Linked DNA regions of Arabidopsis thaliana. The protein of the gene in region 1 interacts with the protein of each later gene in a pairwise test. Each region holds a gene or a part of one and is shown on either strand. Other genes may lie near its edges.

The links. The genes of interacting proteins can lie anywhere in the genome.
Region 2: the proteins of AT4G39700 (region 1) and ZFHD1 interact in a two-hybrid assay, tested with the Arabidopsis thaliana proteins (one study listed by BioGRID).

Annotation. Positions count from the first base shown.
Region 1 is NC_003075.7:18,421,925-18,426,192, forward strand, and holds AT4G39700 (Heavy metal transport/detoxification superfamily protein), read left to right. Parts: upstream 1-2,184; 5' UTR 2,185-2,340; coding exon 2,341-2,512; intron 2,513-2,677; coding exon 2,678-2,982; 3' UTR 2,983-3,185; downstream 3,186-4,268. UniProt on the Arabidopsis thaliana protein: Heavy-metal-binding protein.
Region 2 is NC_003070.9:26,177,505-26,186,371, reverse strand, and holds ZFHD1 (zinc finger homeodomain 1), read right to left. Parts: upstream 4,217-8,867; 5' UTR 3,903-4,216; coding exon 3,174-3,902; 3' UTR 2,826-3,173; downstream 1-2,825. Other genes in the region: CLE45 (CLAVATA3/ESR-RELATED 45), read right to left, coding at 7,848-8,222. UniProt on the Arabidopsis thaliana protein: Transcription factor involved in the up-regulation of several stress-inducible genes. Acts as a transcriptional activator by interacting with MED25 and NAC proteins. Involved in increased drought tolerance.

The sequences.
Region 1 (4,268 bases):
GTTGCTGTACTGATGTGGCATCATGTGGTATATCACTGGGCTTATAATATATCATCCCTCTGTAGCATTTCATATTTTAAAACTGTCATAAAAAGCCCATGAGCTTACTTCTAAGCCGAATACTATTGAACACCTCTTAACCAGATAGGTGTGATGTGCATACTAGTGCCCTGGAATCTAACATTGTTCATTGCTTGCAAAGAGTGTACAAGCAACATTAGCTAGTGTTGCGGGCCAAACTTCATCATCTACACGAGCGCGAGAATACTACTCCCTGAAGTAGTTACTACTCTCGTTTGCCTTAAATGAGAAGAAATATTACAATCTTAACTGGTTCCTATTTGAAACGGTTTTTGGAAGGAAATGCAAATTAGTTTCTAAGGATAAAGAAATCAGAAAAGATGATGAATTTTAAAATCGACACCGCATTCACTTTCGGTGAGTTCTCTTTAGCAACTTTTGTTGTGATCCTAAATCCAAATTAAGAATCTAAGAAAGATAACACACTAAACCCAACAAAACAAAGGTCATGCATGTATCTTTTTTTTATCCATTTAAAGACAGATATATAATTGATACCTTGTCCTGTCCACATTAGAAAGTTTTCAACTCTTTGATGTATAAAGTTTGATCTCTGGTCGTTAAAAAGAAAAACCTTATACTTTGATAATCGGATAAACTCGTATAGAATCATGCCAATGATGCCATATAAAATACAATTAGGAGTTAGGAAATACATTTAAATAAATATCTAACGGCTGCCGGAAACTTCTTATCGACAGTCTTTAAATAGAGTGCATAAACTTGTTATTATATGTACCGAACGTTGAAGGTTTGCTCGACAACTCCAAAACATTATAAAATTTTGTCAGCTAACTTACCACTAATTATTTCGATCGAGTGAGGAGTCACCTTCATATTCTTATCTATATTTTTATATATATAACAGAAAATTTATAAATTCTTGTCAACTAACTTGCCACTAATTATTCGAGTGGAGTCCCCTTCATATATTCATAGATACATATAACTACAATTTATTATGTCAGCTAACCGTTGGTATTAGTATGAGTTACCAAAAAGGCAAAGATTCGAATTTATGACAAGTTCTGTTTATTGATAGACGAAAGAAACAAAATTGTCCCTATATTCAAGATAAAAAGAACGACTTTAATTACATGTACGTATTTGTATTTGCTGGACGATAATAAACATACAAATTCAATTTTGAGGAGTTGAAAATATTCCCTAGCTTCATTCCAGATAATTATATGAGTTTTTGTATATCTACTATTGAATTATTACGTAAAATTATGAATACGTGAAGAGAATGTAATACATACTATGAAACAGCTAGCTAAGTTGAGAGGGGAGGTGGCACAACTCCTCCAATAAGGAGACAGCCTCACACGCGTATTCCAATCGGCGCCGTCATATTGCCACGTATACAATTGAACGCTCGAGATCTCTTCCCCATACGTGTGAAGCTGTCTCGTAGTGAGTAAATATTAACTTTATAAATCTCCACGATGGTTCTTGCTATTTTTATATATCACCTTTAAATTTTGCTAAATTTGATCATTGATCCTAATTAATTTAATAATGAACCGACTATTAATTATGCTTTAGATAAATTAGTATGAATTCGTTAATAAATGCATGGCTCTCTCACCTTCTTTCTGTCTTCCTTGTGAAGAACAACAAGATTTAAATAAAAATACCTAAAGTTATTATTCCATGATTTAGTTGTATTCACATCACATGGATTCCCTTTTCCCTACAAAGCTTACCTTCGTATATATGCTAAGTTAAAATAGTAACATATATACATTTGTTCAACAATTGGATACAAATATGAACCAAAAAAACAATTGGTTACAAAAATACTTTAAATGATTGAATTTAGTATGGTTTTAAAGCGTATATATCCCTTTAGTTCCACTTTTCCCATCAAATATCTTCTTAACTAAACCACAAGGTCTTTGGCAATTGGCATATATATTGCTTACGGTCTAAGTTCTTAAAGACATCTTTTTCTATTTTTTATAAAGTTGGCCAAATTTGTGTCAATTATAAACACAACAACATACTTTTTCTTTCGTACCAATACAATTATATACACAAAAGTAATTCTTTATTAAAATATCAAATTAAGGCCTTTATAAGTCGAGGCAACCAAGCTAACAACTCATTGCAAACTGAAACCAAAACAAATATCTATACAAACACATAACACATATTGAGAGCCAGAGTGAAAAGAATTATACCCATTACTAATCGCCTTTATCTGTGAATTTTCTTGATAAAAAGAAGACACAAGTCAAAGATAAAATCAACAAGATGGGAGTTGGGGGAACGTTGGAGTATATATCAGAGCTAATAGGGAATGGAGGAAGCCATAGTTATGGAAAAAGGAAGAAGAAGAAGCAGTTTCAAACAGTAGAGCTCAAAGTTAGGATGGATTGTGATGGTTGTGTCCTCAAAATCAAAAACTCTCTTTCTTCTCTAAAAGGTAACTAGCTTCTTCTTTTATAATCAAAATTCTCGTCCGAATTTGTGTTACTGTCCCTTATGAGATGTGTTTGCTTACTCCTATCTAAAACTTATATAAATACATGCATCAATCATCATGCATGCATATATATAACATGAAAAATCTTCCTTCATATATTTTCAGGAGTGAAAACGGTGGAGATAAACAAGAAGCAACAGAAGGTGACAGTGAGTGGTTATGCGGATGCGAGCAAGGTGCTGAAGAAGGCTAAAGCGACGGGGAAGAAAGCCGAGATATGGCCGTACGTACCGTACAACTTGGTGGCTCAGCCGTACATAGCTCAGGCTTATGATAAGAAAGCACCGCCTGGTTACGTCAGAAAAGTTGACCCAAACGTCACCACCGGGACGATGGCTGTTTACTACGATGACCCTTCTTATACTTCTTTGTTTAGTGATGATAATCCTAATGCTTGCTCTATTATGTAGTTTTTTTTTATTTATTAGATAATTTATAAAGGAATTTATATAATATATGCCGGTAATATATGCATAAATGTGGGTTATAAATTTTGGTGTTTGTTCTCTTTTAGTTCATGGTTTTGTCTTCTTTTGCATGTGCTCTTTGTTGGTGTTACAAGTGAATGTTTTATTAATATTAATATAGATCTAGTATTATATTAGCTTAATCAATTGGATATCGTAAGTAATCATTGTTTACTATCATTGGAAGATATAAGTGGAAACTAGTTAATTTTTTCTATGCTAGTTTCAAACTTACAAAACAATAACAAAGACGTTTGTTTTTGGTTAAGGTGTTTCATGGTCTTTTAATTTGAGTTTAGTTTTTTGGGACCCCAATATTCTAACTCTTTTCACCCACTCTCTTTCTCTTTTACATACATTATTAAAAGAAAAATCCAAAAATGGATAGTAAAGATCGATCACATAAAGCTTAAAAAAACTGTGTATCATAACATACACGGGTCATGTAATCTTTCTATACATACAACTACCCCCACCATACTATATTTTAAAGGACTTATTCAACAATTTTTACTGATATGATTCTTGCTCTTCAGTCTTCAGGTGTAAACAAAGTAAGAGCATCCTCAACAATAAGCTCTTATTAAAAACCTCTTAACAACAATAACAATGATTATTTTATTATAATATTATTATATAAATAAATTTTAAGTTTAAGAAAAAAATGAACCAATGTATAAGTGACATGTGGCTTAGGTGGTTTACTTGATTATTAAAAACCTCTCTTCATTCTCTTATCTAAGAGCTCCTCTTCATTTTTTCTCTTCTTCTTTCCATGTTTTTATTTTTATATTACTAGATGAATTCCCACGCTACGCGTGGGTTTGTTTTAAAAATTCTTTAGATAAAAATATGTTAATTATTTTTGTCGCTAATTTATGTTTACTTTTTGTTTGTTATTTTATACTTAGTAAAATTAGACTCATCTTATGTACTTACATTTTTATTGTTAGATTCATTTTTGACTCTAAATATCAATTTTTATATATTTTCATGTATAATCTGATTATTTTTATATCCAAAATTCTAAAATTTGTTCATTATCATGAATACACACAATAAGAATATAAGATATTTTGATTTCAAGAGTTTTCGTATGAAAAAAAAGAAGCAAAAATTAAAGAGTTATTTTAGTAACACTTTTTAGATTTTATACTATTGCATATAGCCGTATAAGACAAATGGATTTGTTTTGAATTTTGTGGTATGTTTAACGTCTCAAAAGTCTA
Region 2 (8,867 bases), on another chromosome or scaffold:
TTCATTGGTTCACTTGCCCTTTTTCTCTTGGAGTTTCAACTGTTATTTAATAAAATCATCTCTTTTGGTTTTTTGTCAGAAAAGAAACAATATCATCTTTCTAAAGTCATAATCTAAGATTTTCTTAAATTGTTTTCTTTGGTCACATATGAGATTTTCTTTCATGAATATCATCTTTAAACCTAATTTCTTTTCTAAAGTTGCAGATTGTACATTTGGGTGAACAAGCCAAAAATAGGATAATATCGGATACCAAGCTGGTAAAAGTATATAGATTTTAGAATTAAAAAATAATGTTTGTGAAATGCAAATAAGAGATATGATGATGGTAATTTGTTATTAAAATAGGATAATTTATTAAACGAGTAAAATTCGGATTTGAGTAGTTTTAAAGAATTTATTATTTATTATTTAAATGGGTAGTTCGAACATCTCAAACTACAATTTATCACATTTGGAAGCAGTGGAATAATGTTCTTCACAATCTCACAGTCTCGTCTCACCATACCACTTTTGAGCTGATGGATAAAGATATCATAACTGTAATCAGTCCTCGAAGACAAATGAAGCATTTTAGAAATTTAATGCAACTTTGGATTAGGTGATTTCACTTTGGTGTCTTCATAAATATTTGTAGCCTTGTTTTTTGACTTAAAAAGTTATAGGTGTTACATTTTGTAATCCCTAAACTTTTCATTTTTAATGATATTTATAGTTATATCACAAAAAAAAAGTAGTTGTAATAGTAAAGATAATTAGCGTTTCATAACTATTTAGAAAAGTTGGAAGATATAGATCAAGTAAAGGTATGATCGGGTCACGGTCGAGCCCGGACATACATGCCTATGGGGGGGCGACCAACGAAAAATATCAGCAGTTTCATGTTATGTGTAGCTGCTGGTGAACACTTGTAGCCTTATAGGTGTATTAATGAGTTTGGGTAACATGTAGAATTGTAGATAGTCGCGTGAGAGATTTTGGTCTTCGACCGTCCAAACATGGCCAAGTCACGGTCCAAAAACAAAATTGATTGACTATTATACGAGAGCATTTGGCAGATGCTCGTGTTACGTTGAAATTGAAAATTCCTTTTTAATTTCGAGTGCGATCGTTTATTAGTCCTTTTCTTTTAGGTGTTAAGCAAATTAATTATCATTTTCGTTTCATTTTCAACGTGCAATAGAGATGCAAGGCTACACGTGTCTCAATAAATTTGGACCAGACATTGATGCTGACGTATCCCATCCTCTTTTAATGTAGGTAAAATGGAAACTAGATTTAATAAATGGTGATTGGTGCATGTTTTATCTTATAAATTGTAAAGAAGGTAAAATGATTTTGTTTACTTTATAAAAGAAACTTATTTATTTTATTTTACTTCAAACAAAAAATTGACTTATTTAACCATTTGACTCATTTAAATGTGTTTATATACATCTTAATCACTACCTTATACATCTCCCAACCCAAGAAGACCTCTCTTGATAATCATTTATCTAACATAAATACACACTAGATAGATGATAAAGATGTTCCATGTGGTGATCAACTTATCAGTGTCCTTACCAATCCAAAGTAAAGCATGATGAGTTTTCCTGAGCTGCTTCGTCTCTGGCTTGGCTCAAAATTGCCACCGTGACTATACATATCGATTTTGGATGCAAGATCCCCACTGAAGGATTCTGATCTTTGACTTGGATTATGGTATGCTTCAACGGTTATACTTATACTTGACCAAGTCTCCGGTTGGTGAAAGACTTAACGGATCCCTAAGATACTTGGTTCGATTAGTGTCCTTTAGTGTGTTATTGGGTCTAGTCTCAAAAATCAAAAACTACAATGGGCTTTAGCTATAATGGAATTTTTTACATTGCTTTCCTCTTTGCATATTCCAACAAAAGAAAACATCTAACTAATAAAAACCTTTTTTTTTGAAATATCATCTAAAAAATGTGATACACGAAGACATGTTACATACTGTTGGTATGGGGATTATCCGTTGCTACTTTTTTCATCATTATGTAACATGTCTTCGTGTATCATATTTTTGATCCACTGATATAAGAATTTGATATCTACATCATCAATTAATCGGACCACTAACATCTAAAATCGATATTAGCTAGGTATTGGAATATTGTCCAATCGGAATCTTAATTAGTAGCATACAAAAAATTCAATCATCCAACCATAAACACATATACCGATCTATAATGTAAATTATTTTATCCGCCAAATGCATGTTAAACAATTTGTGTACCATATATTGATCATTAATCATTGCATGCAGTTACTCGTATCTACATAGAGCTTTTGCATACATTGATCTATCTGGCATGGATATTCGTACCGGCCTTTTGTTAAGGCTTGGGCTTCGTTACTTCGTACATACATGGTAAAATACTTTGTCTCCGGCATTGAACTTACGACCATTTATACGTGATAAAGCATTCGCTATGATTCGTTAATACATGATGAATGAAAGAAAAAAAACGAATTTTTAATATCAGTGGTGCGGGAAGAGCCAAATCATTGCACATAGTAGATATTTTAGTAATCGTAACATCTGCATTGTACTTAATTAGGATAAATAAGCAAGATTGGTGTTGCCAAAGCTTATCCCTAAATGGAAAGAGATAAGCCAGCATTTTAATAACTTTTAATCATATCATATAAATTAACAACAAAAATGTGCCGCCCAGTGACCTAATTATATTCCGCCACGCCATAGTTTGTTGCAATTCGTAATAACCACGTCGTCGTATCTTCATTAAGCAAACTTTACTTACTCTATCTCTAAAGTTCAGGAGATTTATTTCTAATAATACAGAAGATAACATTGAATAATCAGAAAGTAAACAAAGAAACGAATCTTTTGATCTCTACGATCACAATTAGCGCTTATGCACTTACTATAATTAGAAATGGTCTATCAAAATTCGTTTCAACCTCCGATTTAAAAACTTATTTATTACCAAACCCATTTGTGATCTCTGACCACATCTCTGTCAAAGTGATGAAAATAGAAAAGATCAAACCGCATAAATATTTATATCAAGATCGATTACATGTTAGAGAAAAGACACTATTATATGATTTTAAACCGGTTAATGCTCATATTTTCCCAAATTAAAGTATCCTAATTCGGTTTAACCCGAATCTTGAATCTTTCTTCAAGAAGATGAAGACCCATCACCATCATTGCTGTGAGTGTTCAGACACAGGCCATGTTCGATCTCTCTGATCTTGCCATTGAGAAGTGAGTACTTGTTGTTATGCATCCACACTTTAAGAACTCCTCTCTCAATCCCAACTTCGTTACAAAACTCTCTCACCGACTTTTCATCACATCCGTTGATTTTCCAACCAGCTTTCTCTGCGAAGGCTCTCATCTTGATCTTCTGCTCCGGCGTGAATTTGGTTCTTGTTCGTTTCCTCATTGCTCCTCTTGAACTGTTCTCTGACCTAACCACCGTTGGATCTTGATCTGACGGTCCAGGGAAACCGGAGCTGAGAGAGAGAATCACGTGATGTGGAGGAGCTGAGGTGTAGTAAGAGCAAGGAACAGGAGAAGACACGTGACGAGACGGCGGCGACTCAGTGCCGGAGGGAGAAGAAATCGGAGGCGCGGTGAGGAAGTTGAGATTCTCGGAAGGGTCACGGCGGTGGAAGTTACGGTGGCAGCCACAAGCAGCGCAACGGAGAGAAGAAGGATCGGTGGAAGTAGCCGTGGGACTCGGCATAAACTCGCCGCAACCGTCGAGAGCATGGCCGCCGAGATTAGCCGCGTGGTTTTTCAAACACTCTTTGTAACAAACACCCATTTCTCCGGTGACAGTTAGTTCTCCGGCGATGGGAAGAGAGTTTAGAAGTTGTTGTTGTGGTTTGGAAGACAAATCCATAGCTTTTGTTTAGTTCTGTCTTTATAGTGTGTTTACTTAAATCTTTTGCTTTTGTGATTAATGAGAAGATTAGGTTTTGTAGTTTTATTTTATTTATTAAAAAAGGATAATTATGTAAGTGCATGTGACGATGATGTAATTATATCGGTAAAGAACATGGCAGTGATGAAATATAATTAGGACTTGGAAAATAATAATAAGTGCTTACTCACAAACGTCCAAAACATACAGCAAAAGAAAGAAAACACTCACTGTATATCAATGAAAATTCACAACTTCTTTTTTACTTTTTTTTTTTCTTGTTTTGGTGAAACAGAGATTTTTTTGAATATTTTAGTCACTAGTTTTGATATCTATTCATACGTTATATAGACAGACTATACACTTTGAACCTGTATAAAATATTGAATCTGAGGTCTTATCAGAAAGCAATGATTTTACGGGACATTTGTAAGATATGGGTTTTCACTTTCACCAGTGGGTAACTTGTTGTGTAAAAGAAATAAAAAAGATGAATAATTTCTGAGCGTGACATAAAATTTTAATTAATCGAATATATTCGAAGGAGAGGATGGGATTAGTTGGAAGATTTGAGTCCAAAGTGTATACGTGGCAATAGCCCATTACATGCATCGTACTAAAGGACAATTACAGCTGCCCTGCAGTTTCATATTCCACTGTACATATTACAGTTTCTTATTTTTAAGAGTTTACGTTACCACCCCATACTTCTGTTAATTTCACTGTATCACCCCTGCATTTTTATACTAAAACGTTTTAATCTTTTCAATTTTGATTCTGTTTAGGGACCATTTTCTTATCTAGAGGTCTAAAATCGTAAATTTTCCTATAACGATAATCTAACTAAACAATAAAGTCAATAAAATTTCTTACTAGTATAGGTATTACGTGTTCTAGTGAAATATTTGACTTATGCTAATGTACTAATTCGTTCCAAAAGGAAAAGTGCTAAACAACTAGAAGATTTTGTAGATTACCGAAAACACCTCTAAAAGAACTTCTTTCGCACGAATACTTAATACTTGACTCAATCGTGGAGCAAAGAAGAGTTTGTTGTGACAATTGCCAAACTTCATGTTTCGTAATTAATCATGAAATTTAAATGTCTAAATTCCTTAACCACCCTTTGGAAAGACTCTTATCTCTTACCGACCTTTTATTCTCACTTCTTGTCATTAGTGTGGCGCCGAAATTTAGTGTTCTTTCGCATTTTGCTTACGTTATTGATTAGCTTTTGGGTCACAATTATGTGGTGTATGTCTTCAAGTCTTCCTCTTCTAAGTACCCCACAATTATTTTGAATCTTCATTAGCCATTTTCCATATCGATTCTTATAGGGTTTGTTTTTACAACAAATATAGTTTCTATCAAAAAAATAAAAATTGAAGGAACATTTTGTGACTAGTTATTGTTACTTTTATGATGATCCATTCATGAAAAAAATGATGAACCTTTTCTTATAAGTTACAATGTTACTACATGTGAATGTTATTGGTAAGATCAAACTGCATGGCTAATTTTGTTATTAATTATAATTACTAAGGTCTTTACTCTTTAGAATTAAAGTAACAAAACAAATCAGACATCAACATTCATTTCGTTAAGCTTTGGATACTCGTTTAATTAACTTAAAATCTTATTGAAAGGCATATAAATTATTCATTAATGTATAGTTAAGAGTCTGATCCCTGAAATGAGACTAATTAAAGCATTGTTTGCGAGGAGAATAAATGAATAACAGTTGGTGTTACGTTTTGTCGTTTATCATAAACCTAGTCACCAATCACGCTTAATTAGAATCCAATTTACAACAATCGGGAGATATTTGACCATACAATAAAAATAATTAAATAAACGTATTTATTGTTTTACTAATAATTCGTTGACAGAGACTTTGATTTAACAATTTATTTACTCGTATCACAATTAGAATCATAAAGACGGATTAGAACAATCTCCTAACGATCTTGTCAATGACCGAAATAGCACGCGCATCCCGCAAACCGGCCACTAAGGTTGGAGAAAAAGTCATTTGTAGCCGAAATTTTAAATGTCATATGATCATGGGGTCATTTTTGCGTAACGTTTCTATCTATGTATATACCTATTGAATAAGTAGGTAAATGACACAAAGTAAGACTTAATTAGATAAATAACAAATGCTAAAATTCACTACTAGAAAAATAAACAGAAACAAAGACTAGATAAAAAACGATAACTACCGTAAGCAATTTGTCTCTAAAGAGACGTGGTCACAAATATGCATAGCTAAACCGGAGATGCAAGGATACAAAGAAGTTAGTTTTTCCAAAGCTACTCCAAAGTATGATGTTGTCACTTGACTGGTTGTGAAAAGCAAAGTTGCAACATAATAAAGAATGATTAAATGGAACCAAAATGCGGATACAAATTGCGTATTTTGTAAAAATCCGTTGGAGACGAGAGAGCATTTGTTTTTTCAATGCCAGTATTCGAGAAAGGTGTGGGAAGAGCTGATAACTCAGACAAAATAGAAGGATATCACGAGAGAGCTTGCGAGTAAAGATCTTGATTCCACAACAAAATTTATTCCCAAGTACTGTTTCAAAACACGATACTCTTTATTTAGTGATAAAGAAATGAGAGGAGGCACGAGACCAATCTTCGACCACGAAGAAAATCGTTAAATTGATTGACAAGAACATGAAATCCGTTTGAGCGTACTAAGAAGAAGAGGTGAAGATAGATCATAGAATCTCTTAATAATTTATTTTAAGAAAAATTTACATTCATATGTATCAATGTTTTTTTGTTTTGTTTTTGAATACAATTTAACATTAGATTCAAACAAGATACATATTTTTTTTAAAAACTATTTTTATATTTCCATCATTAAAATTGTATAGTAAAATTATAAATCCATTTTATTGATGGACAACGATAAATCTATTAATTTATGCAAATTTTTTCTTAAAGTTAAAAGATGGATTTAACTTTAATCATCGAGCACAAATCAAACACATCAAGGCTGGGCAGGATAAAAAAATATCTAAAGGCCTAGGCCCAAAGAGAGTTATTTTTATGAACTGGGCCTAACAACTAAACTAAGCTCTCTGGTAGCACCGTTAGGCCCTCGGCGACTGAACCGTCGTAGCGAGCCGTTCCTTGCGGCTAGGTGCCAATGATTCTCCTCCCCACCGTATGAGGAAACTGCTGATCCGGCGGCGGAGTTAAACTCGCCGGAAGATGTATTCGGAGAATAACTGTAAGTCCTCGTATTCCGCTGGTTTTCATGGCGCCTAAGTAATACTTCGATTTTGAGAGGTTGATCTACCGATTATTAGTTGGATCGCATCACAATGTAGGTATTAGTTCCACTAAAATCTTCATGTGATTGTAAATTTCTTGAAGGTTGATCTTAAGGCTACGTTCATGAAGAATCCTTAGAATTCCAATTTCTTAGATTTTCATTTTCACTCAAATGATAAGTTTGATATTTGTTAGAAAGACAGAATTGTTTACCTTTCAAGTGCAAATGTGATTTGTGTGAAAATAGAGGTTGCATAGTGAAGTTGTAGCAAAATCAAAACTTTTGAGATATGTTATATACATAGGACATGTTTTGGTGGGAGTCAAAAGCATTGCAGAAAGAACAAAACTTATACGAACTAATGCAAACAATAGAGTGGGGACTTGGTCAAAGAAATATCTTGAAAACAAATATGTATTCTCTTGGTGTATCTGAACAGATAATGCTGTTCTGCATAATCTGATGGCTTCACCATATTGTGTGTTCTTATCAAAACCTATACTTGAAAAATAAACCCTGAGAATAACCAACTAACCTACCTCCAGCTTTGATAAGGTTGATTGTTATGCCCTTTTCTTCTTCTTGCGTTTCTATAGTATATTGCCTTTTTCTGTATTTGATTTCTCTTGCGCCGTTTAAGAAAATGGCTGAGCTTTGTTGTGGATAGGATCTGATCCTCGTCTTACACGTCTCTTGCTTGATTTGAATGAGTCTTCTGTCTTATTCTTTCGTTCTTGTGTCTCCTCAGCTTTGATTTTATCTTTGTTAACTTCCTCGAGAACGCGTCGGTTTTTATTGAGCATTTCTTGATCTTCAAGGGTGTGTTTGAATTGAACACCGATGCTCCTGAGCTTAGAAATTTCCTCTGTCTGAACTCCTGCTTTTTCTGCTTGTGTTTCTTTGAGGAAAAACTCTCTATGTCTCATGGCTGAGACATTATATCTGTTGTCTGCTAGTAATCCTATGCAGACGAGAAGAAAAAACATTGATCTTGTACTGGAACCCAACATTTCTGCTCTTAGGCAGACAAGAAGATTCAGAGTATCTTTCTTTTCTTCAAAGAAATGAGAAGGTTAGGAGTTATGAGATTATAGCCCTTCTGAGTTCTGATTTTGTGTGTGTTCCTTCCTGTAGATATAGTCATGTTATATATCAGTTATTGGGATTTGGAGGAAGCTTTAAAGTGTAAAAGCACAGTGGGTCCCTGTGACCCTGGGGAATTTAGATTCACTTAAAAAACATTGCTTTGGAAATCTAAGTAGATTAAGGCTGTTATGAAAGAATCTGACAATGATTGTACAAAAGAGTTCAGTTCACGAAAACCGCTGGGAAGTTAAGTATCTTTCTTCATTGGTTTCCCTACATCTCTACATTTATCCTTTGCTTTTGTCTAACCATATCCATCTCATTCCAATCTTGACTGGAAATTAGCCTAATTTGGGTTTCTGGAGACCTTCCTAACTAGCCACGTCGTTGAAGGCGACTGTTAAACTGACACACTTACACTTTCTTGAACACTTTTACCAGTGAACATGTTTAGTGAGATTCTTTGTATACACCATCTATAAGCTGCTTTGGTTATAACCCAATTACCTATGCTGCCATAGTTCCATTATATGTTGTATTCGTTTCTAATTATATTGACGAATAGTTTA